Linked DNA regions of Macaca mulatta. The protein of the gene in region 1 purifies or fractionates together with the protein of each later gene. This does not show direct contact. Links are inferred from orthologs where the notes say so. Each region holds a gene or a part of one and is shown on either strand. Other genes may lie near its edges.

What was found.
Region 2: the proteins of MEPCE (region 1) and CDK9 purify together in Homo sapiens (affinity purification with mass spectrometry; 10 studies listed by BioGRID and IntAct, counting the BioPlex papers as one, with this or other methods). This does not show direct contact. The link is inferred for Macaca mulatta from reciprocal best matches to the Homo sapiens genes MEPCE and CDK9.
Region 3: the proteins of MEPCE (region 1) and YBX1 purify together in Homo sapiens (affinity purification with mass spectrometry; 3 studies listed by BioGRID and IntAct, with this or other methods). This does not show direct contact. The link is inferred for Macaca mulatta from reciprocal best matches to the Homo sapiens genes MEPCE and YBX1.
Region 4: the proteins of MEPCE (region 1) and SART3 purify together in Homo sapiens (affinity purification with mass spectrometry; 6 studies listed by BioGRID and IntAct, counting the BioPlex papers as one, with this or other methods). This does not show direct contact. The link is inferred for Macaca mulatta from reciprocal best matches to the Homo sapiens genes MEPCE and SART3.
Region 5: the proteins of MEPCE (region 1) and METTL16 purify together in Homo sapiens (affinity purification with mass spectrometry; 3 studies listed by BioGRID). This does not show direct contact. The link is inferred for Macaca mulatta from reciprocal best matches to the Homo sapiens genes MEPCE and METTL16.
Region 6: the proteins of MEPCE (region 1) and SNRPN purify together in Homo sapiens (affinity purification with mass spectrometry; 3 studies listed by BioGRID and IntAct, counting the BioPlex papers as one, with this or other methods). This does not show direct contact. The link is inferred for Macaca mulatta from reciprocal best matches to the Homo sapiens genes MEPCE and SNRPN.
Region 7: the proteins of MEPCE (region 1) and SNRPF purify together in Homo sapiens (affinity purification with mass spectrometry; 4 studies listed by BioGRID and IntAct, counting the BioPlex papers as one, with this or other methods). This does not show direct contact. The link is inferred for Macaca mulatta from reciprocal best matches to the Homo sapiens genes MEPCE and SNRPF.

The regions. Positions count from the first base shown.
Region 1 is NC_133408.1:47,626,253-47,630,803, forward strand, and holds the start of MEPCE (7SK snRNA methylphosphate capping enzyme), read left to right. Parts: upstream 1-1,666; 5' UTR 1,667-2,064; coding exon 2,065-3,735; intron 3,736-3,993; exon of another isoform or gene 3,994-4,075; intron 4,076-4,551. UniProt on the Homo sapiens protein: S-adenosyl-L-methionine-dependent methyltransferase that adds a methylphosphate cap at the 5'-end of 7SK snRNA (7SK RNA), leading to stabilize it.
Region 2 is NC_133420.1:19,920,513-19,924,903, forward strand, and holds the start of CDK9 (cyclin-dependent kinase 9), read right to left. Parts: upstream 2,952-4,391; 5' UTR 2,904-2,951; coding exon 2,812-2,903; intron 2,351-2,811; coding exon 2,269-2,350; intron 1,532-2,268; coding exon 1,441-1,531; intron 1,103-1,440; coding exon 936-1,102; intron 836-935; coding exon 664-835; intron 506-663; coding exon 357-505; intron 1-356. UniProt on the Homo sapiens protein: Protein kinase involved in the regulation of transcription.
Region 3 is NC_133406.1:198,061,654-198,065,444, reverse strand, and holds part of YBX1 (Y-box-binding protein 1), read left to right. Parts: intron 1-516; coding exon 517-606; intron 607-934; coding exon 935-1,237; intron 1,238-1,468; coding exon 1,469-1,551; intron 1,552-3,791. UniProt on the Homo sapiens protein: DNA- and RNA-binding protein involved in various processes, such as translational repression, RNA stabilization, mRNA splicing, DNA repair and transcription regulation.
Region 4 is NC_133416.1:115,652,556-115,655,776, forward strand, and holds the end of SART3 (spliceosome associated factor 3, U4/U6 recycling protein), read right to left. Parts: intron 2,750-3,221; coding exon 2,559-2,749; intron 1,875-2,558; coding exon 1,697-1,874; 3' UTR 753-1,696; downstream 1-752. UniProt on the Homo sapiens protein: U6 snRNP-binding protein that functions as a recycling factor of the splicing machinery. Promotes the initial reassembly of U4 and U6 snRNPs following their ejection from the spliceosome during its maturation.
Region 5 is NC_133421.1:3,966,263-3,968,869, forward strand, and holds part of METTL16 (RNA N(6)-adenosine-methyltransferase METTL16), read right to left. Parts: coding exon 2,275-2,607; 3' UTR 1-2,274. UniProt on the Homo sapiens protein: RNA N6-methyltransferase that methylates adenosine residues at the N(6) position of a subset of RNAs and is involved in S-adenosyl-L-methionine homeostasis by regulating expression of MAT2A transcripts.
Region 6 is NC_133412.1:5,020,402-5,024,463, reverse strand, and holds the start of SNRPN (small nuclear ribonucleoprotein-associated protein N), read left to right. Parts: upstream 1-1,262; 5' UTR 1,263-1,367; coding exon of another isoform or gene 1,368-1,381; intron 1,382-4,062. Other genes in the region: SNURF protein, read left to right, coding at 1,368-1,381.
Region 7 is NC_133416.1:103,187,213-103,191,358, forward strand, and holds the start of SNRPF (small nuclear ribonucleoprotein F), read left to right. Parts: upstream 1-1,346; 5' UTR 1,347-1,468; coding exon 1,469-1,471; intron 1,472-3,447; coding exon 3,448-3,573; intron 3,574-4,146. UniProt on the Homo sapiens protein: Plays a role in pre-mRNA splicing as a core component of the spliceosomal U1, U2, U4 and U5 small nuclear ribonucleoproteins (snRNPs), the building blocks of the spliceosome.

The DNA.
Region 1 (4,551 bases):
TCATTCTCACTCATATTGTCAGTGCCCGTCAGGAGACTGGGCTGTTTTTGTCTGTTTCTTGGGGACGACAGATTCTGAGGAAAAAGGGCCAAGAGCTGGTTGTCGCCCTGAGAAAGTTTCTCCTCAGGCAACGGGTGCCAGGACTGGCGGCGCCTAGCACCTTCACCTACAACCAGAAACTAGCCGGCTACCTTCAGGAGCAAGGAGGACCTAAAGGCGAGGTGCAAAACCAGCTGGCGCAGCGACTCCGCAAGCCTCTCACACCTCAACCCAGGTTTCCCGCCACCAAGAAAAGGCACGAGGACGTCGGGCGCGCTAGCTCCACCCCCGGGAGGCGCGCTCGCGGAGTCTGAGGCGCATGCGCAACTGGAAACAGCGTCTGCGTTTCCGCGGCTGAGGTAATTCCGCCATCTTTCACCCGAACGTCCCGGGAAAACTACAAATCCCAGAATCCTCTTTGGTGTCACATATTTTTAGGCGGCGGCCGCAGCGCCTGATTGTTCTTGAAGCACATCTTACTAACTTTTCTCTGTTTCAGATTGCCTTTTCCTCCCTCTTTCCGTTCCCTGATTCCTCCTCTTCCTGCTGGTCTCCTTCACGCCCTCACTTTAGGATTTTATTTGAGACTTTCCGGGACCCCACTGTCACCCCTGTCACCCGCTCCTCGGCCCAGCACTCCGCTGGCAGGAAGACCGGGCTGCGAATCTCCCCGGGAAAACGCCGTAGATTCGCTTCTTCCTCATTGGCCGAAGCGGGGGGGGGGGCCCAGCGCGGACCGAACCCCCGTCCCCGCCCACACTCTCTGGTATATAAGTCGGCGCGGCGCCGCGGCGGGCGTTTGGGGAGGCCCGTGAGCTGACGGGCCAGTGAGCGGGCGTCGGGAATGGGCGGAGGCGTTGGGGTCCGGGCCGTGGGTGTGGAGGCGGAGAGGAAGGCGTGGTGTGGCGTCTCCAGGTGATTGCGATTGGGGGAAGGCAGAGGAACCAGAGAACGACTCAGCCGTTTCGGGGGAAGAGGAAGTTGGACAACACCGGCTGTTTTAGTGCTTTTTCTTTTTCCCCAATTCAGCAGAGAATATTTTCGAGGGGGGTGAGTTATAATGACCTATCGCGTTTTACTGAGCCCAGTTCCACTCCTGCCCTTCCTCGGCTTTGTAGGGTCTCTCTGCTCCTTCGGAAGCGCTTCTAAGAAGATGGGCAGAGGGGGGAGGTGTGCTACCAACAGCTCATGAATAATTCATGAGCACCGCCCTTCGTCGGGAAGCCCTGCCCCTCCGGATCGCGCTGACGCACGCTGCGTTTACCAAACTTAAGGAAGCGACGTCACAGGCCCTACCCCTAAGACGGGAGGCGGGGCGCCACCTCCAGCACGTGCTGCCTGTACCCGCGCAAGCCCAAAAGGGTGTGCGCAGGCGCTGCCCACTAGGGGGAGGAAGGAGGCGGGGTGGGGAGGTTGTTGGATTTAGAGCCGGGTGGAGACCGCTGAGACTCATTCCTCAGGAACAAGGGTCGGGTGTCAAGGAGACCTTTTCACACCAGGTCCCGTCCCCCGCCTACGGTGGGTGGGATCGCGCGGCAGAGACAAAGGAGATCAGTAGGGCCGGACCTAGCTGCGCAGGGAAGTAGGGTGTCAGTTTGGGGTGGTGGGCTTTTGCGGGGGCTGTGTGGGGGGTTATATTTAAACTCCCAGAGCCGTTAAGTTGGTTCGTACTCCGATGCGCGCGCAACCAGGGTGGTGGCGGAGTGCGCATGCGTGGTTCCGGGGCGAAGGGAACGCGCGCTTGCCGTGCGCGCTCGCGGCGGGGTGGTAGTGGCGGAGGAGAAAGGGGTCGGCGCACGCGCGGTTGAGTGCTCGAGTAGTTCGGGTGTCGCGGGCATCTTGTTTTGGTCTCGCGGGCGAGTGGGGCGCACTTCGCGGGGAGGCGCTTGGGCGCGAGACTAGGCGAGAAGAGCAGAGCTGCGCGCGCACTCGGGAAAGGGGGGGAAGGGAGCAGGGTCCAGGCAGGGGGGGTTAAGCCCCCTGATCCCCCTCGTTACCCCGACTGGGACGGAATAAGGGGAGGAAATGATCGAGATGGCGGCGGAGAAGGAGCCGTTTCTGGTGCCGGCCCCGCCGCCGCCGCTCAAAGATGAGTCGGGCGGAGGGGGCGGCCCCACTGTGCCACCGCACCAAGAGGCCGCCTCTGGGGAGCTCTGCGGCGGGACGGAGCGTGGTCCGGGTCCTTGCGCGCCGTCTGCGGGGTCCCCGGCCGCTGGGGTCGGTCGAGAGAGCCCCGGGGCCGCGGCCACCCCCCCCGGTGGTCCCCAGGCGCAGCAGCACCGAGGAGGCGGCCCCCAGGCGCAGTCGCACGGGGAGGCCCGCCTGTCGGATCCCCCGGGGCGAGCCGCTCCCCCGGACGTGGGGGAGGAGCGCCGGGGAGGGGGCGGGACAGAGCTGGGTCCCCCTGCTCCTCCTCGACCCCGCAATGGCTATCAGCCCCACCGGCCACCTGGGGGGGGCGGGGGCAAGAGGAGAAATAGCTGTAATGTAGGGGGAGGTGGGGGAGGCTTTAAACATCCGGCCTTCAAGAGGCGCAGGCGGGTGAATTCGGACTGTGACTCTGTGTTACCCTCCAACTTCCTCCTGGGGGGCAATATCTTTGATCCCCTGAACCTGAATAGCCTCCTGGATGAGGAAGTGAGCCGCGCCCTCAACGCAGAGACCCCTAAGTCATCCCCCCTTCCGGCCAAAGGGCGAGATCCAGTGGAGATCCTCATCCCCAAAGATATTACTGACCCGCTCAGTCTCAATACTTGCACTGATGAGGGCCATGTAGTTCTTGCTTCGCCACTCAAGACTGGTCGGAAGCGGCATAGACACCGGGGACAGCACCACCAGCAGCAGCAGGCAGCCGGAGGGAGTGAGAGCCACCCCGTGCTGCCCACAGCCCCTCTCACCCCCTCACTCCACGGGGAGGGCGCCTCACAGCAGCCGCGGCACAGAGGCCAGAACCGGGATGCCCCCCAACCCTATGAACTCAACACAGCCATCAACTGCAGGGATGAAGTGGTGTCTCCGCTTCCATCTGCTCTACAGGGTCCCTCAGGCTCCCTATCAGCCCCTCCAGCTGCCTCAGTTACCTCTGCACCCCCATCTTCCTCCTCCCGACATCGCAAACGTCGCAGGACTTCCAGCAAGTCGGAGGCAGGGGCTAGGGGTGGAGGCCAGGGTTCCAAGGAAAAGGGCCGAGGGAGTTGGGGAGGCCGTCACCACCACCACCACCCACTGCCTGCAGCAGGCTTCAAAAAGCAACAGCGCAAGTTCCAGTATGGGAATTACTGCAAATACTATGGGTACCGCAATCCTTCCTGTGAGGATGGGCGCCTTCGGGTGTTGAAGCCTGAGTGGTTTCGGGGCCGGGACGTCCTAGATCTGGGCTGCAATGTGGGCCATCTGACCCTGAGCATTGCCTGCAAGTGGGGCCCGTCCCGCATGGTGGGCTTGGATATAGATTCCCGGCTCATCCATTCTGCCCGTCAGAACATCCGACACTACCTTTCCGAGGAGCTGCGTCTCCCACCCCAGACTGTGGAAGGGGACCCGGGGGCAGAGGGTGAGGAAGGGACCACCACCGTTCGAAAGAGGAGCTGCTTCCCAGCCTCGCTGACTGCCAGCCGGGGTCCCATCGCTGCCCCCCAAGTGCCCTTGGATGGAGCGGACACATCAGTCTTCCCCAACAATGTTGTCTTCGTCACGGTAAGAGGGTCCAGAGGCTCTTGGAATAGGGGTCAGGTGTGAAGATGAGATTAAACGGGAATGTGGCAGGGAAGGTTATGACCCAGTTCCTCAAAAGAGAGGTCTGGGTTGGCAAGTGAGAGTCTCTGCTGGGCATCTCTCCCCTCTTATAACCTGGAAAGGTGGGGTCTCTACCTTGGGGCATTGACCCTGGAGTCCTTTCTCATGACTGCAAGGATCTCCAAGATAAAGGAAGACTCTCTTTTTTTTTTTTTGCAGTGCTCTGGGCTTGGCCTATAATCCACACTGGTCCACCTTCCCTTCCCTTGAAGGCTGCTGCTCACTAGGGAATTCGATCCAGGTGGAACTTGGTCCTCAGGTTGACTGAAGGAGCCTGAGATGGGGGTCGGGCATGGAATGTCTTCTAGGGAGATTAGGGTAGCAGCAGACTAATATTGGCGTTTCTGCCCTTTGATAGCCACCTTGCTCCCATCAGCAGCTTTTGTTTTTCTAGACAGTTTGTGAAGAGTGTCAGGAACCCAAGTGACTTGGCTGTAGATCCTCTCCACATTGACCCTAGATAATGGGAGAGGGAAGAACCAGAAACTCCTCTGCAGAGAGGAGAGCCCCATGCCCCACGGAGTCCCCTGACCCCACACAGCTCCCCAGAGAACTCTCCAGTTAGGCCGCCTGCTGGGATCTTTGGCATTGCATTGGGTTAAGCCTTGAAGAATGGTCTTTTTAGAGGGTTGTGATGAGCTTATCTTCTAGAAAAGGCTTCCTAAAGGATGTGGCTCTTCATTTCTCTCAGAGAAAGGAAAGAATAGTCGTGAAACT
Region 2 (4,391 bases), on another chromosome or scaffold:
CCTTTGTTAAGGCCTAAAAGGACTAAAATACCTGCTCCACTTCGAGACTCCCAGACTACTACTGGAGAGAGAACTCGACCCCTCCCAAGAGAAGCAGTGCCCGCCACAGATTGGCACATACCACATGCCAGGCCCAACCCTGACATACGTCACATTTCTGGTTCACAGAAGAGAAACCCAGCGCTGACTCAGTTGTTCTGCCCAAGGCCACAGAATGGCTGATGGAACCAAGACTGGCGCATAGCCTGTGTGGCTCTCAAGGGCAGGCCCTGTCACCAAACCAGCCTCCCTTCCAGAGAGGAGCGCTCCCTCCATTCCACTCCCCACTCCTCTGCCGGGGGACCGGGACCCCGTACCTCAGGGGTGATGGAGCCGCAGAGCTGACTGATGAGGGCGAGTTGGTGCTGCTCCGTGTTGCCCTGCATGATGGGGCTGCGGGTCCACATCTCTGCCATGATGCACCCAGCACCCCACAGGTCAATGGGGGGGCCGTAGTCCCGCTCCCCTGGGAAGAAGAGCGCACCAGGAGGGCCCCTTGAGCCCGGAGGCCTCCTGAGACTCAATGCCCCAGGGCCGGCAGCTCAAGAAGCCCTGGCAGTGGGGGGGCGGGGGCCAGGTAGATGCCTGGCCCTCACCCCCCTCGGCCCGCTCGGGAGTCCTCACCGAGCAACAGCTCCGGGGGCCGGTACCAGAGTGTCACCACACGGTTGGTGTAGCGGTTGGGCTGGCTGTTCTTAGCCAGGCTGAAGGCCCGGGCCAGCCCAAAGTCTGCCAGCTTCAGGACCCCGTCACGAGTGATAAGCACGTTAGCAGCCTTCATGTCCCTATGCAGGATCTGCAAGAAGGGCAAGAGTGGCTCCTTCAGTGATATCCACCCGGTAGTGGGAGCCAAGGCCAGCCCAAGCCTGGGTCCTCCTCCCAGCTCTCGCCCCCACCTTGTTCCTGTGGATATAGTAGAGGCCGTTAAGGAGCATCTGCATCACCCTCTTGATCTCAGACAGCGTGAACTTGACCAAAACATTGCTCAACAGCCCAGCAAGGTCATGCTCGCAGAAGTCGAACACCAGGTATATACTGCCCTTGCAGCGGTTATAGGGTGAAGCTGAGGCAGGAATACAAGGAAGAAAAAGTCAAGAAAGCCACACCCAACACACTTTCCCACAACCAGTTTCTTTCTTCCTGCTCCAACCCATGGGCACCCAAGCCCTCCAGAGCATCTGTCTGTTCCTTCCTTCACTGGTCAAATATTTTCTGAGTGCCTCTTCTGGGCCAGGGCAGACCCCGAGGAAGCACCAGCTACGATGAAAGAGGACCAGAGAAAGCAGTCACCATGGGTCCATCTGAGTTAAGAGGAGGCAGTTTAGGTGGGTCTAGTTCCAACTTTACGAACAAAACCTTAGGCTACAAGTGTCATCTCCTCATAAGATCCAAACAACTTACCTTTGGTTCGACAAATCTCAATCAAGTTGACCACATTCTCATGTTTTAGAAGTTGAAGGATCTTGATCTCCCGCAAGGCGGTAATGGGGAACTGGGTGGGAGAGAGGGGAAAGTGGTCAAGAGTGAGCGCAGTACAGAGCCCAGCCCTGGGGTCTATATTGAGAGGCAAGATGGGAGACAGAGCAAGATCATGGGCTCTGAAACCAGCTGTCTCAGAAGCTCTGCCTGTAAAATGGATATAGTAGGAGCATGCACACTTCAAGGAGATGATTTGAGACAACAAACTGAAACAGCAATACTTTGCTATTAGCCACTAAATGCTCGGCGGTTTCAGCCTTCAAACTTCAGCTCTATGGCTGTTTCGTTGGCAACAAACATGACGATTCAAAAATGTCCTCGCTAAAGCACATCAGGAAAAGGAAGGTTTATGGGACGTTGTACTTGAGCTAAGATGGGGTGGAGGGACCGCTCCTTTTAAACACATTAAATAACTGAGTATTAGTCACTTTTCAAAAATTTGCATGCATATGTATCTTTCTTTAACATTAAGCAAAATTTAACACTAAAAAAAGGTGTTTAAAGGCTTCCTAACTTCGTGAACTAAAGTGCACACGATGCATGCATCAACTCCCCCTCCCGGTCTCACCCATAACTGCCTAAGAATGAAGCATTTAGTTTTAGGGTGGAGGCCAAATTCCCTGGAAATTTCTGAACTACTACGAAAAAAATTAAATCTCAACCTGAGACTCCTAGAAGCAGCAGGGTGGAAAACCGACCCGGGGTCCTGGGCAGTTAGACGGCTGGCCCGCACGCCCGATCCGTACTCACCCCCTCCTTCTCGTTTTCCATCAGCACCTTCTTCAGAGCCACCTTCTGGCCGGTCTTGCGGTGCCTGGCCTTAAACACCTCCCTGCAGGCGGAAAGGGAGACCCGAGAGCTCATCAGGCGATTTCCGCAGGGCCCGCCCCTCCCCCACTACAGGAGGAGGGGCAGCAGCAAAAAGATTCCCGGGCGGGGCTGGGGTAAGTACCCAGGGCACGCGGCTACCCCGCCACCCGGCACCCTGTCTCGTTCGGAGCTTCTGCTTCCTTCTCTCAGTCCCTTCTCCTCACTTGGGCGTCTCTTGGAGAGATCCCGTTCCCCTCACGGGCGCCTCTCTGCAGCCCCTCCCCGCCCCCACCACCGGCCTCAGGCTCCTCCCCACCAGCCGGCTCCTTCAGGCCGGGGCGGGGTGCGGCGCGGCCTAAAGACCAGTGGGCAAGCCCGGGGACAGACGGTTTCTCTACCAACTCGGGCGGGGCCCGGGGCATCCCGACGTCCGCCCTAGGGGTGCAGGCCCACGGCTCCCGGCCCCGAGGGGCCCAGCCTTACCCGAAGGTGCCTTGGCCGATCTTGGCGAGCTTCTCGTATTTGGAAACTTCATCACAAAAGGGGCACTCCACCGAGTCGTACTGCTTTGCCATGGCCGCCTCCAACGCGCCGCCGCCGCCCCCAGCCGCTGCTGCTGCCGCTCCCGCTCCGGGTCCCGCCGCCGCCGCGCTCCAGGCCCCTCCGCGGCCGCGCCACTTCCGCCTCCACGGCCACTTCCGGCCTCGCGGCGCCGACCCCGCCTCTTCCGCCCGCCGCCCGCCGCCAGGCCCCCTGGGACTTGTAGTTCCCGAGAGGCCAGGGGGAGCCGGAGCTGCAGAGGCGCCTCCGCCGCCGCCGCTGCCCCCGCCTCCGCCGCCGCCACTACTGGCGGCGGCCCCGATCGGGGGCGCGGGGAGCCGGGGCGCCGGAGCTGGGGCTCGGGGTGGCGCGTCCCGCTGCATGGGCCCGGGCCGCCGCTGCTGCCGAAGCTGCTGCCGCTCTGGCGCCCGATCCGGGGCCAGCCGCAGTGCCCTGCTCCTCCTCCTCCGACGGCGCCGCCTCCGCCGGGCTGCGCGGGGCGGCGGGCGGGGGGGCAGCCCCCGAGCCGCGGCCTGGGGGCTCCCTGGCCGGGCCCGGGCCCGGGGCGGCCGGGCGAGGGGGCGAGACGGGAAGAGCCGACTAGGAGACGGCCCGAGAGCCCGGGAGGGGGCGCGTTATAAAGGGGGAGGTGCCCGGCCTCGCCTTCCCCTCCTCCTCCGCCCGCCCCCGCCCTCCTCCCTCCCACCCTCCGCGGCCGCACCTGCCGCCGCCGCCACCGCCCGCCCGCCCGCCCGCCCGCTCGCTGTCCGCCGGCCGCCCTCGGCGCGTCACCGCCCGCGGCCCCTCCTCCGCCTTCGGAGGTGGGGCCCCGCGCTCGGCACCTGGCTGCGGGCGCCCAGCCGCGTGCCTCAGTTTACCCCCACATGCCGGCTGCCGCGGAGAGCCCCTTCCTCCCCGGCTCGGAGTGCCCCCCCAAGAGGCGAAGGCGGGAGGCGCGGAGGGAGCGTCCTCCGGCCCTGGGAGGAGAAAACGGCCCCCGCCTCCGCCTCCCCCGGTCCCCGCCACCCTCCGTTGACATGGCAACCGACGGCCGCCAGGGGGCGCGGCGGCACTGGAGGCGACGAGCAAGCAACGCCCGGGCCTTCTATCGCTGGAGCCTGGCTCTCCAGGAGGCAGGGATGGGACCCGCAGGACTCGCGCCTTCGCCGAGTCGCGCCAGAGCTGATCAGGCCCCGGGTCAATAATCGCAAAAAACAGCTACCATTTTCTCAGCACTCTTTGTGTGCTCAGGAAGTGCTGGGCGTTTCCGCCGAATCCTGAATCAACAGCCCCATAGTCAGGATCACTAACCCATTTTGCAGAAGAGGACATTGAGGCTCAGAGGTGAGGTCATTTGCCCAAGGTCACACGGCGACAAAGCTGGGTGTCTGACTGTGAAGGGGATTCTCTTGACTCAGGCTATCCGTGGTTGGGCCAGGAGGAGAGCACTGGGGAGGCTTGCTGTCCTTATGCAAGCGGGAGCTCACCACTCACCCCCCCATCTCCCTCCCCCATCGCGCCCA
Region 3 (3,791 bases), on another chromosome or scaffold:
GCATTTCCACTGACGTATTATCAGATTGGAAGGGATTTGGGTTGACATTTGTAATTGAGTTTGATATGGTAACACAGGGGCAAAGTTGGTTTGGTCAGCTGTGAAGCATGCAAAACCCAACTCGCCTGTCATCTAAACTGACCCATGTGGGGCCACCTTCTACTATTAAGTGCAGTCTTTAGGGGATAGATGGAGATCCTCATTTGTTCAAAATTACATATAATGCTTTTGCAAAAAGCAGTTTTTAAAATGTTGTGTCTGTCTTGAGTGTTAAATTACTTGTTTTAGTTTTGTAAATAGTGGTAAAATGCTGGGGCCTTGTATGATTGGAGTGTTTTTGTTGAAGTTGGGGATAGCGTGGTCCCTGCTTTCCCAAATTTATTGATGATTTGGTCTTATTTAAAGCAAATCTTAAGTGTATATCCAAGCTAAAATAATATTGACTCTGGTACATTTTAAATGAAAAAGCACATTATTCTCCCCTGTTAATCTGTTTTTGGAATGTGATATTACTAGACTGCCATAAAGAAGAATAACCCCAGGAAGTACCTTCGCAGTGTAGGAGATGGAGAGACTGTGGAGTTTGATGTTGTTGAAGGAGAAAAGGTGAGGATGCTTTTTGTGTAAAGGTTTGACTTCAGTATGGAAATATTTTGGAGGTCTCATCTGTTAGGATGGTGGCTCTAATGTGGATGGATGTGTTCAGGTGACCTCATGAACACAGGTGCATCAAGCCTAATGTTCTGGCTGCAGTTAGAGGGCAATCTCTTCAGAACAGTGAGGAACTGATATTTAGTCATTTCTGTGCACCCCTGGCCACGCAGTCGCCCACCCCCCTTTTTGTTTTCCTTAACTTTGTTTTTTGCTTTGTTTGAAATTTGTTGAAAGTGTTCTGATTTCCTTTGTCACTATCAATATGTAATGGCTTTTGTAGGGTGCGGAGGCAGCAAATGTTACAGGTCCTGGTGGTGTTCCAGTTCAAGGCAGTAAATATGCAGCAGACCGTAACCATTATAGACGCTATCCACGTCGTAGGGGTCCTCCACGCAATTACCAGCAAAATTACCAGAATAGTGAGAGTGGGGAAAAGAACGAGGGATCGGAGAGTGCTCCCGAAGGCCAGGCCCAACAACGCCGGCCCTACCGCAGGCGAAGGTTCCCACCTTACTACATGCGGAGACCCTATGGGCGTCGACCACAGTATTCCAACCCTCCTGTGCAGGGAGAAGTGATGGAGGTAAGTTTCACCATCAGCAACAGCAATGTGATAAGTTCTGGTAGGACTGTTTAGAGCTGTTAATCATATGGAAAGCACCTTTGATTCCTAGTAAGAACTAACAGGATTAATTTATAGTGTAGTCACAGTTACTAGATGGTCTGATTTTTTGTTTGTTTTTTAACTCTGGATTTCCTGGTAAGGTTATTATGTTACTGACCCAGTAGCCTTGATTTCCATTATCTTTTTCAGGGTGCTGACAACCAGGGTGCAGGAGAACAAGGTAGACCAGTGAGGCAGAATATGTATCGGGGATATAGACCACGATTCCGCAGGTATGGTCCACATAAACCTCTGTTAGAACTCAGCAATATCATGCCTCTCCCGCAGACTTTTGGACTCATTTTTCTGTTAACACTTCACGTTTCCTTTCATCAGATGCCTAAGAGGTGAACCTGTTAAAAACAGCTCATATAGATGAGGTCAGCTTTATACATAAATTTTTTTTTTTTAAATGATGAGGGTATGGAATTTCAAATTTTCTATCCTTGAACAGGTAAGATAATATTTTAAACCACGTCTTTTAAACCTGCCTCCTTGGTAGGGAGAAAGGAAAGCATTAGGAGTATCTGAATTGTACCATGGCATTAGTGAAGAATCAGCAGTAAGTGTTAACCACTTGAAATGGCATACATAATCTTCCACTAATTCTTAGTTTAGGTATGTACCCCCCCTTTTTTTGGAGTTGGGATGTCAGCTCAAAGTTGCAAAATGAAATTGCTCCATGAAGAATTTACATTCTGGGAGGAAAAATCTGGTCTATCATTAGACAACTAATCTATCTGCTTGAATGGGTATTAGAAATCTTATTAATAGATGTCATTATTAGAGTAATGGAGGAAAAATTCCGTGAGCCAAGCGTATTTTAGTCCATGCTGTGGTGTGCTTTAAGGCAGCGTTCCCAGTCCCACGATGGTAGGATAGAATGGTGTAATCGTTCTTTCTGTGAGGGTTTGCTATTGAAGTATTAAGTTTTCATAGGTGATCCCTAAAATCTGACAGGTACCTCTGAAGAATCAAACCAATACAGTAATAATGCATCTTAACTGATCACTTAAATCACAACTTTTAAATCCCCAAATTTTTAAGTGTCAAGTTTATTATTCTAGAAGTATCCAACATATCCAAAATATACTGTGAGTATATTTTGAGGGGGTTTCTGTATATAGGTTTTTAAATTTTACAAAAGTCGGAGCACTTAGTGTAGTTTTAGGAACTAGGGAATCTAGTTGAGGTTGTATTACATACTTATCAGCACGTGTACATTGAGAGTTTTGCAAGAGCAGCTGATGTCATCATATTTCTTGTGTTAATATATGTCCTGTCCTGAGTTTTCAGTTAAAAGAGCTGGGATCCTAACTGATCACTACTAGAATTGAAGATCTCTGATTCAGTTTTCTGCCAGGAGATTGTGTTAGCCAGATGCTGGATGTTGAAGATAGATGGGTTTTTATTTTTCAAAGTAGATCTAAAATAGGCTCTCATGTATTAAGTCCATGGGTTCCAGCAGCAGAATCTTTGGTTTACCTTTTTATTACACTGAAGAGCTTAAATGTTTTGCCAAACTAGTTTCATAGATGTCCTTAAAAATAGTATAATTTTGTGTTTGTATTCAGTACTTCAGTTCACTGTTGAGCAAATTGTTTTTATATTGACAAACAAGAAGCTTGAGATTGACTTGTCTCTTAGAAAGGTATCTTTATCCATTGTTACCCCTCCAGTGCAAAGGTTTTTGCCATTTCATTTAAGTTAGACTTAATGTCTACGTGTTTCCATGTTTAGAATGCTCAATCCTGCCAGATAGTTAGCAGAAGTAACATATAATTGCTTTGAAGTTATTAATGAATGCTAGACTTTCCAAACTCTGCAGGAATCTTTTGTTCAAATGAGAGTAAATGAAACATGCTGCGCCTAATGCATGGAGTGGTGTGGTAAAATCCTGGCTGGTGTGGGTTCAAGAGCAAATTGAAAGAGAAGTCTTAAGACAGAGTGTAGTACAAGTTTTGCTGAAAAGGAGACAGGTAGTAGGGGAAAATGGGGAGTGAAAAAGGGAGGGTTTTTTTTGAGAAATAATATTTATAGGCTGAAATGCAATCGAGGATAACGGTTGATGGCAGGAAAGTGACTGCTGGAATGTTTTCTTCCTCAGAGCGAGTTGGGTTTTGCCCACAGGTGAAAATGTTGACCTGTTGTTAGAAACCTGATGTTTTCATGTGTAAGAAACAAGAATACATGGGCAAACATGTTTAATGGGAAGACATGGAAGCCTTTGTTTGCTCAATTGAGTCAAAAGAAGAGGAAGTTTGAAAAGTTTGGGGCAAAGAACCCTGTAGCAGAGAAAATAGAGATGGTAAATTTGTAAGTAATAGGATAACAATCATAAATTAGAAGTGAGTTCACCCAGCTTGGCTCTGTGTTTCTAGCCATTTGAGCATCAGGCTCAGATTGGGCAGAGAGTTGGATTTCTCTGGCATTGGTTTATCCAGACTTAGACCCTGGGGTAGGGATTGGTCAT
Region 4 (3,221 bases), on another chromosome or scaffold:
CCCAAATCATCTCACCAGCTGAACAGCCTTCCAAACAGCATCACAGAGAACACTGCAGGAAGAACACGTGGGACAGCAAAGGTTCTTGCTGCTGTCAACAGCCAGCGCTTGAATTTAATTCAGAAGTCTAGTAAAAAGTTTGTTTTGTGTAAAAAAGAGACGGAGGGGAACTTACATTTTAAAAGATGTAAGAGGCTTACGAACCAATAATTTACAGGGAGGAGAGCTGATATTTATAGGAAGGTGGAAATTTGAGTGGACAGTTGACATTAAGGGATTACCACTAATGTTTCTAGGAGTGAAGGCCTTTCAGTCCTGAGACACCTGCCACAACATTACTGGACGAGCACAATGACATCTGGAACATGCCTCAATATAACAGAAGGTGGAAGGGAGACAGACATAAAGGAAAAGGGGCTGGGAGTTGAGGAATGCTGGAAGCTGAATGGTAGGCACACAGGAGTTTATTTTACTGTTCTGTCTACTTTTTAATCGGTTATATTAAAAAATGTTAAGTTAAAAAAATATAGAAAAGCCCGACTGATGCACAAAAACTTACTTACACAACAGATAAATGAGGAGTTGATTCCTATGACATACACAAGGATTCCCTGACATCTTTCTCCAGAGTGTCTTAATAAAGTAAGCTTCCCCTACTGAACTGGCAATGCTGTTTTCAAAGCAATAAATATTTGATAAAGATGTGAGGTAAAAAAGCTCAAAAGCTCCAGTGTCAAACTGCTATAAACTGAATTGTATAAAAACTGAAGACACATCACAGCTGAAATAATTTAAATCAAAGTGACAATGGGATTTGACTTACAGAAGCTCTATTTACACATCTATTAGGTAAAGCAAGGTACACCCACTTCAAAACACATCTGTATGTGAATGCACATCTGAGTACCATTCAGCAAGAAGTTTTGAAGAGAACTTCAGTTTAATAAAGCTAAATGGGGAGAATTGAAGTTTGCATTTGACATGGTATTAAACAAAACCAAAGGGCTGAACTCATGTTTAGACAACACAGGTCACTAGTCACTAGGCAAAGAAAACAGTCCACAGCAGGTGGCACAAATAATTCCTATACAAAACAAATGTTGCAAATATTCTGCTTTTAGGAAACATGAAATAATGGCTGACATGTCATTTACAAATACATAATATAAAAATGCACAGCCCCCTTGAACAAAAATCCAGCAAATGTTTTATAGATGACTTCCCTCAGACCCACCCCCGTAATAGGCCATTCTGGTGAATTACTAGCATCTGCCATTTCATCTTTTAAAATTAAAAGAATGACGGGCACATGTGCTGTGCAGTGTAGAAGAGAAGTGTCATACAAAAAGGGGCCGGAGCTGGCCAGAAACATTTGGACAACTGCATCTCAAAAACCGTGTTCTCGTTTCGCTTCTGTGCCTCAGTCTTTAAGACACAAACGTATCTTGGGACACCACATCCTGGGCCCAGGGAGCCTGCAGAGTGGTCACTTTTCTGCCACTGCCCTCAATATGAGGGAGCACTGAAAGGCTCTTGACTTAGAACCCCTTCCCCCTTTCTGTCTAAAGCAGAGGAGCCATCTGTGGTTGCGAGCGGGCAGCACACCAGGCCTGTCCATCCCCAGTGCACCGCGGGGTGGTGGGAGGTCCGCCGGGCCAGAGTGAAGTAAGGCATTTCCTGTCTCCCAGAGTCCCGTTCACTTTCTCAGAAACAGCTTGGCAAAATCAGCATTGGACATCTTGGGTGCCTCGGTGGCCGCTGAGGCGGCAACTGCAGGAGCCGCGGCAGGGCCATTCTCGGCCTGAGGAGCTGCAGCACTTGGGCGCTGCAGGGCACGAGGCAGTAGAGACAGCTGCGTCCTTCCCTTCCCCCTCCTAGAAGAGCAAACACTGAATGGACCTTTTGAAGCAACAATTTGTGGCCCCTCATTTATTTGTAAAAATAAACCAAGATAGTTTTAAATATAACCAGAAGCTAAAAGGGGGAAAAGAAAAAAGGATGAGATAATCCCTGCCTCCTTAATTCTGGCTGTTAAGTAAAAACTGCTTCGACAGACTTGGCCTTGTTCAGTTTTGGCAAAGATCAACCCTGAGCACCAGTCGCACTCAGAGGGGATCAGTGTGACTATCACCTCTCAGACCTCCCCAGTCACCCGGCAATTCTGCTATCTCCTCCTCATCCCTAGCAGGCAAAAAGCACAGCTTATGTGGATCATATAGCTAGGGCTGTAGACTGGCACACACGTGGGTATAAGATTTCGTTTTAAACATAGCTCCAACTGGCAAAGGGGACTTGAAAATAATCACTGCCTTTAGTTTTGTCTGAAATAAATGACAAGTGTAAATTGGCCAGTACCAGGCAGAGGTCACTGCCTAGGCTTGCATCCTGCTCTGGACGCCTTGCTCCAGTGGAACCACAGTGATTACCACAAGGAACAGCACGTCTTGGCTTTTCTGTCCTAACAGGAAGCTAATTCATGCCGGGTTAATCCCCCCATGGTCCATGAACTGGTGCCAGCCAGGACGAAGTTTGCACTAGTCTACCATGCAAGCACTTACGCTCCGTATGTCTGCGGCAAAAGCATGGGGCCACCTGGTGCCTTCCTGGTCTCCGGCTTCTCTGGAACCTTCCTCTGAGGAGGGTTGCTGATTGCCACTTTGATGACGTTCTCTTTGATAGTCATGCCGTCCATCTTCATCACAGCCTGCGACGCCTGGGATTCATTTTCATACTCCACATAGGCCAGGCCCTGGAAGAGGCAAGATTCAGAACCAAGTCAGATCCCACAGACCAGGGACGTAACCTCCTCCCACAGGGCAGGCACTGGGCTTCCTCCCTGAGACCAGCAGACCAGGCCACAGCAAATGACCAACCAACAGGTTACCTTCCCCACCACTGCATCCTCTGTCTACAGGCTTATTTCCCCACCCTACTCTCCTTCCCAACTGCTGCTACGCACTGTAACTTCAGATAACCCTTCCAAGTTCAGTACACCTTGTATGTGCTGCAGAAGTAGAAAGAAAGAAGGAAACAGACAGATGGACCAGTATAAATCCAGCAAATAAACCAAGAGGTGGATGGGACACAGGGCCAGCAGCCCAGGTGCCCAGGTGAGCCCTTGTGTTTCTGTGCCTTCACCCACTCCCTCATTTCATCCTCTTTTTCTCTCCATTAACCTGGATAAAGGGGAGGGAGAGTGGGCGGTGGGTAGACAGTAACAA
Region 5 (2,607 bases), on another chromosome or scaffold:
GACTAGCGGTGATTTTGTTGTTTTGACTTTCATTTCTCCAAATCTTTGATGAGCATGTGCCACTCTTTTATAATGAAACAAGCAAACAATAAGTTCTTACTACTTACTGAGTGAATAGTTGCTACTTAACCAATTATCCTAAAATTATACCAAGGAAACTAGGTTTGGGTCCAGCAAAGGATTCAAATGTGATATTCACTCGAGGTAAGGATAGTGGGATGCTGTGGGCTAGCACAGCAGAAAATTACTAGACCAGGGGAATCCACGGTCCTGAATTGAATCTTGGCTCTGTGTGACCCTGGGTATTGGATTTTGCAGCCTGACACATGAATGCTTGAACTAGAATAATGATTCTTAACCCTTAGTGGGTTACTGACCCCTCTGTCTATGTCTGAGGGTTCTGGGAACCCTCTCTCCAGGAAAAAGGAAACACACACACACACACACACACACACACACGCTCACAGAACTTTTAGAAGTAACTCTAGGAGGCATATGGACTCTCTGGAGGTCCACGGACCAAGTTAAGAACACTGGTCAGAGGCTGGGTGTGGTGGCTCACGGCTGTGATCCCAGCACTCTGGGAGGCCGAGGTGGGTGAATCACCTGAGGTCATGAGTTCGAGACTAGCCTGGCCAACATAGTGAAATCCCATCTCTACTAAAAACACAAAATTAGCGGGGCATGGCGGCACGTGCCTATAATTCCAGCTACTCAGGAGGCTGAGGCAGGATAATCGCTTGAACCTGGGATGCAGAGGTTGCAGTGAGCTGAGATCGCGCCACTGCATTCCAGCCTGGACGACAAGAGTGAAACTCCCTCTCAAAACAATCAAAAAGCCACTGGTCAGTATGCTGTCTTCTCTAGCTCCAGCTCCACAGCCAAACGAAAGCACAGTAGTTCCACTTCCTGTGTCTCTGCTAAGGGCCTGATCTAGCAGATGCCAAGATATGCCAAGGTCACCAGCTTCCTGTCCTAACCAACAGCCACCTCTCAGAAGGCTGGCTTAACTACTCAGCCCCAGTCTTCTTAGCAGATGGCAAGGAGCCCTGGCGAAGATTTTAGTCTAAAGAGAACCCTAGGCTGCTGATGCAACATCGAACTGTTAAGTCAAGCACAGCAAAAGGTCACCCCTTTTCCGGGGGGGCTGCTACCGAACCCTGGTATTCCAACTAGAAACGTGTTTTAAGGACACCCCTTTTCCGGGGGCACTGCTACTGAACCCTGGCATTCCAACTAGAAACGTGTTTTAAGGACACGGTTACTCCAGCCTCAGAACTCTCCAATGTGAGTAGGTAAGTACAGAGGGGATTACAAGTGAAGCCACAAAAAACAGTATTTGATCAGCAACAAAATATCTGAGACTTTCTTAAGCTACCTACGGCATATACTATTTTGTTCCATTTCTCATTTCTGTCATCAGCCGCTCACTCAGCTAACCCCAGGATTCAAATAGGACCACTGGTTTTTAATTTTTGAATATTCTATATTAAAAACAAAACAAGCTCTACTTCAAATGTCCAAACAAAAATCATACAGTGGTAAAACTGCTACAAAATGGTACTTTCAACAGGCTGGAGGTGGGGGTACGGGTGCCTTCTGTGTGCCTCAGTCACACCCGGGGGTTTTGCTTACCTAATTCTGCTTCTGAATAAGAAACATCAAAACAGCCAAGTGTCAGGAATGTGCCATTTACTGGGTACTCCCCCCAGACTCTGCTCCTCCTTCTAGGATTATTAGGGTTTCTCTCCCCGATTCCCCACCACCCACCCATGGCTAGCTCCCTTCGTGGGACTGACGCAAGGTAGGTCCCATCTCGAAGAGTGACCTAGAAGCGGGTACCAGGGCCTCCAACTGGAGGCAGAGAGAGCCACCCCTCCTCAAGAAACACCCTTGGGTGACAGAGCATGACATTCTAGGCAGTGCTGCCCAGCCCAGACTCCACAAACAACCCTTTTGGCCTTGAAGAAGCAGTCCAAAGCTGAGGGGCAGCTTGAGCCAGCTTGCAATCCCTCGGAGTTTACTGAGGGCTTTTTGTTGTTACTGATGACAGCAATTCCTCCTTGTAAACGAGCCACGCTACAACTCCCTGTAACTCAAAATGCAGGAAGGCGGTCGGGGGAGGTGGGTGACAGATTCACTGGTTTTTGTGTTTGAAGACAATTCCACATAATGCTACTAATGGGCCACTGGTAGGATTCCTCTTGCCACCCCACAGGCCACTGCAAAGCAAGTTACTATAAACACTTTTCCAACTGTGCAAGAAGTTTCTAGTTAACTGGCAACAAGCCTGAAAATTTGGTTCCGTATGTAGGTACAAAGCTGGTTCATCAAATCCCTGTTCTGGCCCTCAACCCAATGCATTTCAACTAAGGCATCGTCCACCTCCTTCTTAACATTTATCAGACACTTAAACAGGTACTGTCCAGCCACTCCTGGGAGCCGTTTCCCCCTTTCAGCCACTGGGCTGCTCAATTGCTCAGAAGCCTCTTGGTCCTGGGCTCCGTTGCTAGAGCCTTTACAACTTTCCAGAACCTCCCCCCCTCCCTTTTCCTCACTCCTTTCATCCTCCGTGGGCTCCGGGTTTTCCTCCTGGGACAGGGACTC
Region 6 (4,062 bases), on another chromosome or scaffold:
GAATATGTATCAATGAACTATTAGAAATTGCAATGTTTTTGTAGGTCAAAAAAATTGAATATTGACAATTTTATATGGTTCAGCCTAATCATTTTTTCCATCAGCGATATTGCATGTTATTGTTTATATATACGTTTATTTACTTAGCCTATCTGTTCTCTGTGAGGAACATTGCACAGTTTCTGAGATTTTGTTATGATAAAAGTCAGCATTGATAAGCCTCTGTGCACCTGTTTTAATGTAGGATCATTGGGAACTGAGCAGTAGCTTACAGGGCTTGAGAGGGGATTTAACCATTTAGTCAACCTCCACTCCTATCACCCTCCCTTCTTTGATAATGGGCAATTGAGAAAGGGCAAATGTGTATAAAAACTATGCAGATACAGTTTCAGGATTATTTCCTTCTTATTCTCAGCAGTGTCTTTTCCCAAGCTACATCAGTATCTAAATTTTGGAGTTACGGATGCTTCCGTTATTTCTGCAGATAGAATATTATTAGGTCAAAAATAATGTTTCCTTGTCCATTAGTATTATATAAAAGTGTCAGTTTCTCCCCACTCCAGCTATCATTGATTATTGGCAAAAATTTTAATGTATCCAAGTCTAATAGGCAAAGAAAGGCTGTCTTACTTAGATCTTAGGTGGGGGGTCTAAGTTCATATTTTTGTTTTACAAGAATTGAATAGCCAGTGTTTTTGAATTGAATGATCTATCCGTTCTGTATAGGACAGTTTAATTATATTGTGATTTTGGGGAAGATATTTTTCACAATTTACCCCCTCAAAATGTAGAAAGTAGAAAAAAGGAAGAAAGATCCCACCAAATTTGAACAATGTAGCGTGTTTTTAGAGTTAGGGAGATTTTCTTCTGGAAGGATTTCAAGTCTGGCATATTTTCATTGATTGTGGTTATGGCGCATTTAACTTTTCCAAACCAGCTTTTCTGTACCGCACATAGGAAGACCTGAGGATGAGTGTAAATTAGGATTGTTTGGCCAGTGGTGTGTGCAAACATTTATTGTACAACCAAGAATTCTTTCTTTAGTATTTTACACATTTAAAAAAATAGGCATGTCCATTGATCCCAGGTTGCTTATGGTTTCTAGAGGCCCCCTCTCAATGCAACAATGCTGTGGGGCCCTAGGGGTCCAGTAGCCCCCACCCCCCAGGTCATTGCGGTCAGGGAGGGCACTGGGACCCCTGCACTGCGGCAAACAAGCGCGCCTGCGCGGCCGCAGAGGCGGGCTAGTGCGCATGCTCAGGCGGGGATGTGTGCGAAGCCTGACGCTGCTGCAGCGAGTCTGGCGCAGAGCGGAGCGGCCGCCGGAGATGCCTGACGCATCGGTCTGAGGAGCGGTCAGTGACGCGATGGAGCGAGCAAGGTCAGCTGCGCCGGTGGCTTCTCTCAAGAGACAGCCTGGGGAGCAGCCACTTTTATTCATCAGATATTCCAAGTTTTCAGGACTTGGAGTACTCAATAAACTGGGCATTTGGGTCCTAAAGTCCTTTGTTCTGGAGAACCAGATCCGGAAGGTTCAGAGGCTTGTGGCTGTGCCATTCGCCCCGATGGTACCCTGTCCGCTCGCTTTGGGGCGCGTCCTCCATCCGCCCCCAGCTGTGGTGTCACCACAGGTCCTATTGCGGTGTCTGCGGTGGGAAGGGCGGTGGTGACGGGGAGCGTGTGGGGTCACCGCAGCCAGCCAGGGACATGGGCGGAGGTGGGTACATCGGAGTGACTGCAGTTCCGTGTGGCGAGGGTACGTGGGGGGACCGGTGCATCGGGATTTGAGGCGGAGGTAGGTATACTGGAGTGATCGTGGCGGGGCGAAGGTACGTGGAGTGACGGGTATTTAGGGGGTGTCGAGCGCAGGTGGGTGTACTGAAGTGGCCACTGCGTGGTGGAGCAGGGTACGTGGGGCGACTGGGGGGTATTCGTCGCAGTGACCGAGGCGAGGAGGCTGTGGCAGTGGACCAGGGGGATGAGTCGGTGCGACCGTGGTGGGGTTTGTGTTGGTGATCGCGGCGCGGGAAGGGTCTGTAGGAAGCGGCTGGGAGGTAGGAGGAAGGCGGCGGCGGTGGGCATTGGCGGCTTTGGTGGCAGTAGGCATGGCGGCGGTGGGCATGGCATGGAGGCGGTGGGCATGGCGGCCGCGGGGCCTGTTGCTGTCTGGAGTGACTAAGGGACGCTGAATGATCGCTGTGGCGGGGAGGGGGCATCAGGAGGGGCAGTAGCACAGTCAGCAGCCTTTAATTTTCCTGTGACCTGCGGTGGTCATCTGGTTTGTCTGCTGTGGTGATGGTGCTTTTTTATTAAAACTGCGCAACGCCTACACTGCCGCAGGGGCTGCAGAAATGCGTGGAATCCTTGCCTGGTGTACCCTTTAGGAACCCTCGCTTTTGAGGCTACAGCATAAGAAGACAGGAATGATGTGCAGAACTTGCATTTACACATCTTTTGACGGATAGGCCAGGCGATGCCTGAGGGTTACCTTTTTTTTCATTGTTTCTCTCTGGAACCGGGTTTTGGAAGGCTGTGTCGGCACAGCCTGGGGGTCTGTGTTGCGTCACTGCCATTGTGCGGCTCCTTCAAGATGGCCGCCGCTGCAGCGCCTTAGATCTGCGCAAGCGCCTCAGGGTAGGGGGGGGCCGCTTCCTCTCTCTAGAGCCGCCAGTGGGGAGGGGGCGGCTGGTGTGTGTGTGCTCAGCTTCTGCTGTTTTGAAGTTTCAGCCGTATCCTCTTTAGGGTGCAGTGGTAAGGAGAGGAGGCGGGCTAAGGTGGGCGGCTGCCTCCTCCCCAAAGCGCTGCCTGGGGAAGGATGCAGTTGCGCAGACGCAGCAGAGGTGACAGTCGCCTCCGTTTGCAATGGGGCGAGACGGGGAGCAGGGGAGTGGGGGCTTATGCAGCTTTTGCCTGGAAGGGATGGCAGCCCTCCCCTTCACCTGGCTGATACAGCAGCTGTTCCTTTCCGGTTGTGGCGCAGTAGAGGGGGGAGGAGGGAGATGGGTTGGCACAGGCGCCCCTAGCAAGCTTGGCAGCCACCCCTTACCCACCGTGCGGCTGTAGAGGATTGGAGGGGAATGTGGCTAGAGGCCAGGCATTTGTACCACCTCCGCCTGTGTGGGATGGCAGCTGCACTGGGCTGCTTTTCTGTTCTGCAGTAAACTGGGGTGGTGGGGGTCTGGAGGCCATCAAAGGTGCAGCCACCCCAAGACCTGCTGTGCTGCTTCAGGAAGCCTCCATTAATGATAGAGATTTTAAATTGGTTTTCTGACTCCCTAGAAAATCCTGCCTTTTCATTTTTGCAGTTCTTCTCTTGGTTGTGTTGTGCGCTAATTCTCTATTCGAAGTGGACTTGTTAACCCCTTTTTTAACTCCCTGTAGTCTTTGAGTTCCACTGGACACATTTGATAAATGCCAAATTTACTCTATTTAAGATTCACTTATCCTTCGTAATCTCTGGATAGTCCATTCTGATGCACGGCATACTTCCCTTAAATGGGTTGGGGGAAGAGGGTATCATGATGGCTCTTCCCAGCCAAGGTTGTAAGGTGTTTCAAACACTGGACCCCTTCATCTTCTGGGAGTTGAAAGCTGCAAGTTGTGTTTGCAGAAAGAGAATAAAAGAGAAGCAGAAAAGTGGAGACGATCTTATTGGGGTGGGGTTGTACTTGGGATCAGAGTTAATGTCTTCTTTTGGAATTTTAAATTAATGATGATCATTTTTGAAGTTGGAGCTACAAAAATTTGGTGAGAAAGGTTAATGAATAACTGCATTTTTATATTCCAGTACTTTAAAAAAAATCATTTTATTCTAAGGATTTTGTCTTCCTTCGCAGGACTTTCAGTGCTTGCCTTTTTTGTATTTACATTTTCCCTCTATCATAACTGGTATGTCTGGTTGCACTGAGTTGTAAGTAACAGAAAGGTTACATCTACGAAGCCCGAAAAGCCTTGTTCTGGAATAATCTGTTTTTGGGTAGTTTTAAAAATAGCAGGAGTCTGGGATTTTATATGATACTTATAATTTACTTTTTTTTCCTGCTTGCATGGAGATAGCACTTA
Region 7 (4,146 bases), on another chromosome or scaffold:
AGCTACCCTCAACTGGTAACAGTTACCTGCTGGGCCTGCTTCCTCATCTCTAAAACGGGGCTGTCACCCCGAATCAGACGGTAAGGTAAGATTTCCACAATTGTTGAAAGAGCCTGACACATAGTAGGAACTCAAAGTCTGTACAAAGACTTAAAGTTCATGAAACAATATACAAACTAAGGAAGAAATCCACTTAAGTTTAGGGTGAATAAATCTAATAACTGTTTGGTAAAAACTACACTGACAATGACTGTCTTGTCAGTGTTCAACACTTATGTGAAACACTGAGCTTTTACAAGGCCAAGCCCCGTTTTAGGTTAAATTCTCGCAACCACGCTGAGGATGGTTCCGTTTTTAAAGCCGCGTTCCTGCCGTGGAAACAGTGGCCCTGAGGGTTAAGACACTGCCCAACACCGGCTGCGCCTGATAGACGCAGGTTCCGAATGCAGGCCCTCTCCAAAGTCTTGCCCACTGCTCCACAGTGCCTCAACAACCAACATTTCATCCTCAACCTCAAATCCATCTCTTCAGGGCCGCAAAAAAGCGTTACTTCCCAAAGGGCGTGTTCTCCAAGAACTGCATTTAGCATTTCAGATCAGAGTGAGCCGAACTCACTAGGATTACGACAAAAACCAGTGAGATTCAGATAACACCGTTACGTCGAAAGTTTTAATCCGTGACAGCGGAAATATTGCTTACGCCCTTAGGTAATTTCAAATGCACGTAAGAAGGCCGTGCCAGTCTCTGCTGGCGATGCAAAAGAAAGATGGGGCCGGCGGGGTCGTGGGGGGTGGGGGGACATGACACCGTATCCCAGACACAACCTGACCTCGTTTAAAATAAATTCTGTATCCGACTCCCTTCGGTGCGTTTCACCGCCCCTAGTCTTGTCTGGCTACCCCCGAATTCCTTTAAAAGGGGTTGAAATGGGTGTTGCAGAAGAGAGAATACTCAGGTAGAAACGGCCTGCGGCAGAGGCGCCCCCAAATCATGGAACCTGTTGGAAGAGTGAGGAAGGAACTCTGGGATCCTGAACATTCTCACGGGTGTAAAAAGACAAAGTAAAATCCCCATTAACCAAGTTGGGGAGAAGTCACATCCGTCACACAGCCTCTCCCAGACCGCACATTTACAACACCGGCCTGCCTCCAGTCCTTGGCTGCCTCACCTTGCTCCTCAGAGCGGGTTTCCCAAGACCCGCGCGCAGCCGGCCAGGCGCAAACTCAAGCCGCTGCTGGTTGCCAGGAGATACTGGTCCAACCATCTCCTCCAATCAGCGCGCATCTCTTTTCGTCCAATCACAGAGGCAGGAAGGGCCGTGGTGGGAGGTGAAAGGTCACACTCCTGTTTGGCGGCCATTTTTCTTGAAATTCAGCGGCTCGGGACCTGGGGTACCTGCTGTAGTCACGAGGGACAAGCGGCAGCCTGGTCGGCAGTGAGTAGCCTGCAATATTCGGCCGTGGTTACGATGGTAAGGAGAACGAGAACGGCGGGAGAAGCGGGGAGAAAGAGAAGGAGGGAGACCACCTCGCGGGGCCTAGTGGTTGCTTCGCGCGTTTCCCATTCATCCGCGTGAGGCGCCGCGCACCCGGTCGCCAGCTTCTTTCACTCTGCTTTTAGGATTTCTGAGGCGCGTGCTCCTCCCGATGCCTTTCTTTTTCTAGGAGTGCCCGTGCCTTCTCCTCTTTGTTTGAATCCGGGCTTGGGATATTCTTATTTGTGGCTACAGGGTCGGGGTAAAACTCAAAGAGAATTTGCACTTCCCACTTAACCACACTCCAAAATTCACTTTCATTGCATGAAAGTAATGATACGGCCATGCTCTAGTTTAACTCGGTTGGGGAAGACAGACAGTCAAAAAATAACAAATATGCAATTGCAAGTAATAAGTGCTAAGAAGAATGCAGACAGGAGGCTGTGAGGGTGCGCGTTAGACATTTAGAGGCTTAGTCAGAGATGGCCTCCCTAGGAGGTGGAATTTAACCTGAAGCCTAAGTGTCATGAAATAGACCCTTTAAAGAGCAGGAGGAGGAGTGTACCGAGCACAGAGAATAGGCGCATAAGACCTGCGGCCGGAAAGAAAGCTTGGTCAGTTGGAGAAATTGACAAAAAGGTACAGCCACTTGCAGGAAGAGTGGTTACGAGATGGTGTCGGAGGAGCAGGCGTTGGACAGGACCTCTTAGGCTGTATTGGGAGGTTTTGATTGTACTCCAAATCAATTGAAAATGATTGAGTTGGAAGCCATTGAATCATTTTAAGCAGAAATATGACAATTTGATGTGCACTTTAAAAAATCATGTTGCTGTGGTGGATAATAAATTGGAGAATGAAAACTGGAGACCCATTAGGTTATTGGAGTAATCGCCGCATCAAGTCACTCCGAATATGTTTATGTTAGAGGGGGTTAGTAGCCAAGTTTCTTAGTTCTGTTCTTTCTTTGACTGGTGAGTGAGCAGAAAAAGGCAAAAACCGAATTCACTGGAGATGTTAATGGTTTGCTGAGCAAACTTTAAGTGATTGCTATAAGAGGCAGTGCTAGTGACAAAGTCATTTAGGACCTAGCCCTAGCTTCCACAGTTAAAGACTGTCAAGCGTCATCTGCCCTCTGCTTCCTTCTGTAGTCTTATATTTGGGACTTTGACTGACAATGCTGAATTGTATGTCCCCAAAATCACCTTGTTGCTTCACTCTTCCCTCCTTTTACATAAGTAGCTAGCCTTGCCTGGAACAGGATTTTTTCCCGCTCTGGAAATAAATTCTCATTCTTTAAAACTGAGGTTAACTTATTTCAGGCAACCTTTCCTTTTTTCCCTGGATTGCTTCGGTACCCTTGTGCCTAGTATATCTCCTCTTATTATGTTGCAATATGCAGTATAATTATTTGTATGTGAGGAGCCCCCCTCCCCATCTCCAACTTCTTGACAGGGACTCTGTTATTTATTTATGACAAGGTCTTGCTCTGTTCCCTAGTAGCCGGGACTACAGGTGTGCACCACCACATCTGACTATTTTTGGTAGAGAAGGTGGTCTCACTATGTTGCCTGGGCTGGTCTTGAAATTCTGGCCTCAAGTGATCCCCCTGCCTTGGCCTTCCAGAATGCTGGAATTACAGATATGAGCCACCCTTTCTGGCCCGCATTTTTTTTTTTTTTAAGTGCCTTTATCTTTGTTTCTTTAGAGCTCAGAACAGTAAGTGATGTATGTAGTCGGTGTTATCTTAAGTGAATAGTGAGTATTTTGTTTTGATGGGTTAAAGGTGATACTGGCTAACTGGATATTTAAATTTCCCTGGTACTCTCCAATAAATGAAAGTGAAAATTGTGTACTAAAATAATGAGTCAAGAGTTTTCTTCATTTGCATACCACAAAATATTGGTATTTAGTAGAAGAGAGTTGGTGGTGGGAGGAAAAATAATTAATTGGATCCTTTTTTGTTCTTTGTGCAGAGTTTACCCCTCAATCCCAAACCTTTCCTCAATGGACTAACAGGAAAGCCAGTGATGGTGAAACTTAAGTGGGGAATGGAGTACAAGGGCTATCTGGTATCTGTAGATGGCTACATGAACATGCAGGTAAGCTAAAGAGCTGTAAAGGTCATAACATTGCATTTAGTTTGCTTCACCTTATTGCTCAAAGGTTTAGTCTGACTAATAAGAATACATACAATTAAATTGACAAATGTACGGCAAAATTAAAAAATAAAGTCAAAGCCAGGGAGGATACTATGATATACTAGGTACAAGACATGGACTTAAACCAGAATTCAGCCACAGATTTTATTCCTAGTAGTTAAAGTAAGAAGAGCTCAGACATTTAATTCATAATAATACTGTAAGGGAAACACACTACTTTGCTGGAGAAAACAAAACATTTCTCATCATTTAGCCCTGAAAGAAAGTTTTCAAGTGAAATTCATGAGTCTTTTAATGAATGATGCTAAAGGCACAACACCAAAGTTATTGAGGAAATTCATTCCTTCAGGGGAAAGACACATCTGCCGAAGAAATTGAACTGACTGTATGTCTGTCAAATGAGTTTCTGTAAATGATTCAGCCATGTGTTTTGGTGGGGTTTTTTTTGTAATTAATTTTCTTTTTATTGTGGTAAAATATACATTACAATTTTGCCACTCTAACCATTTTTAA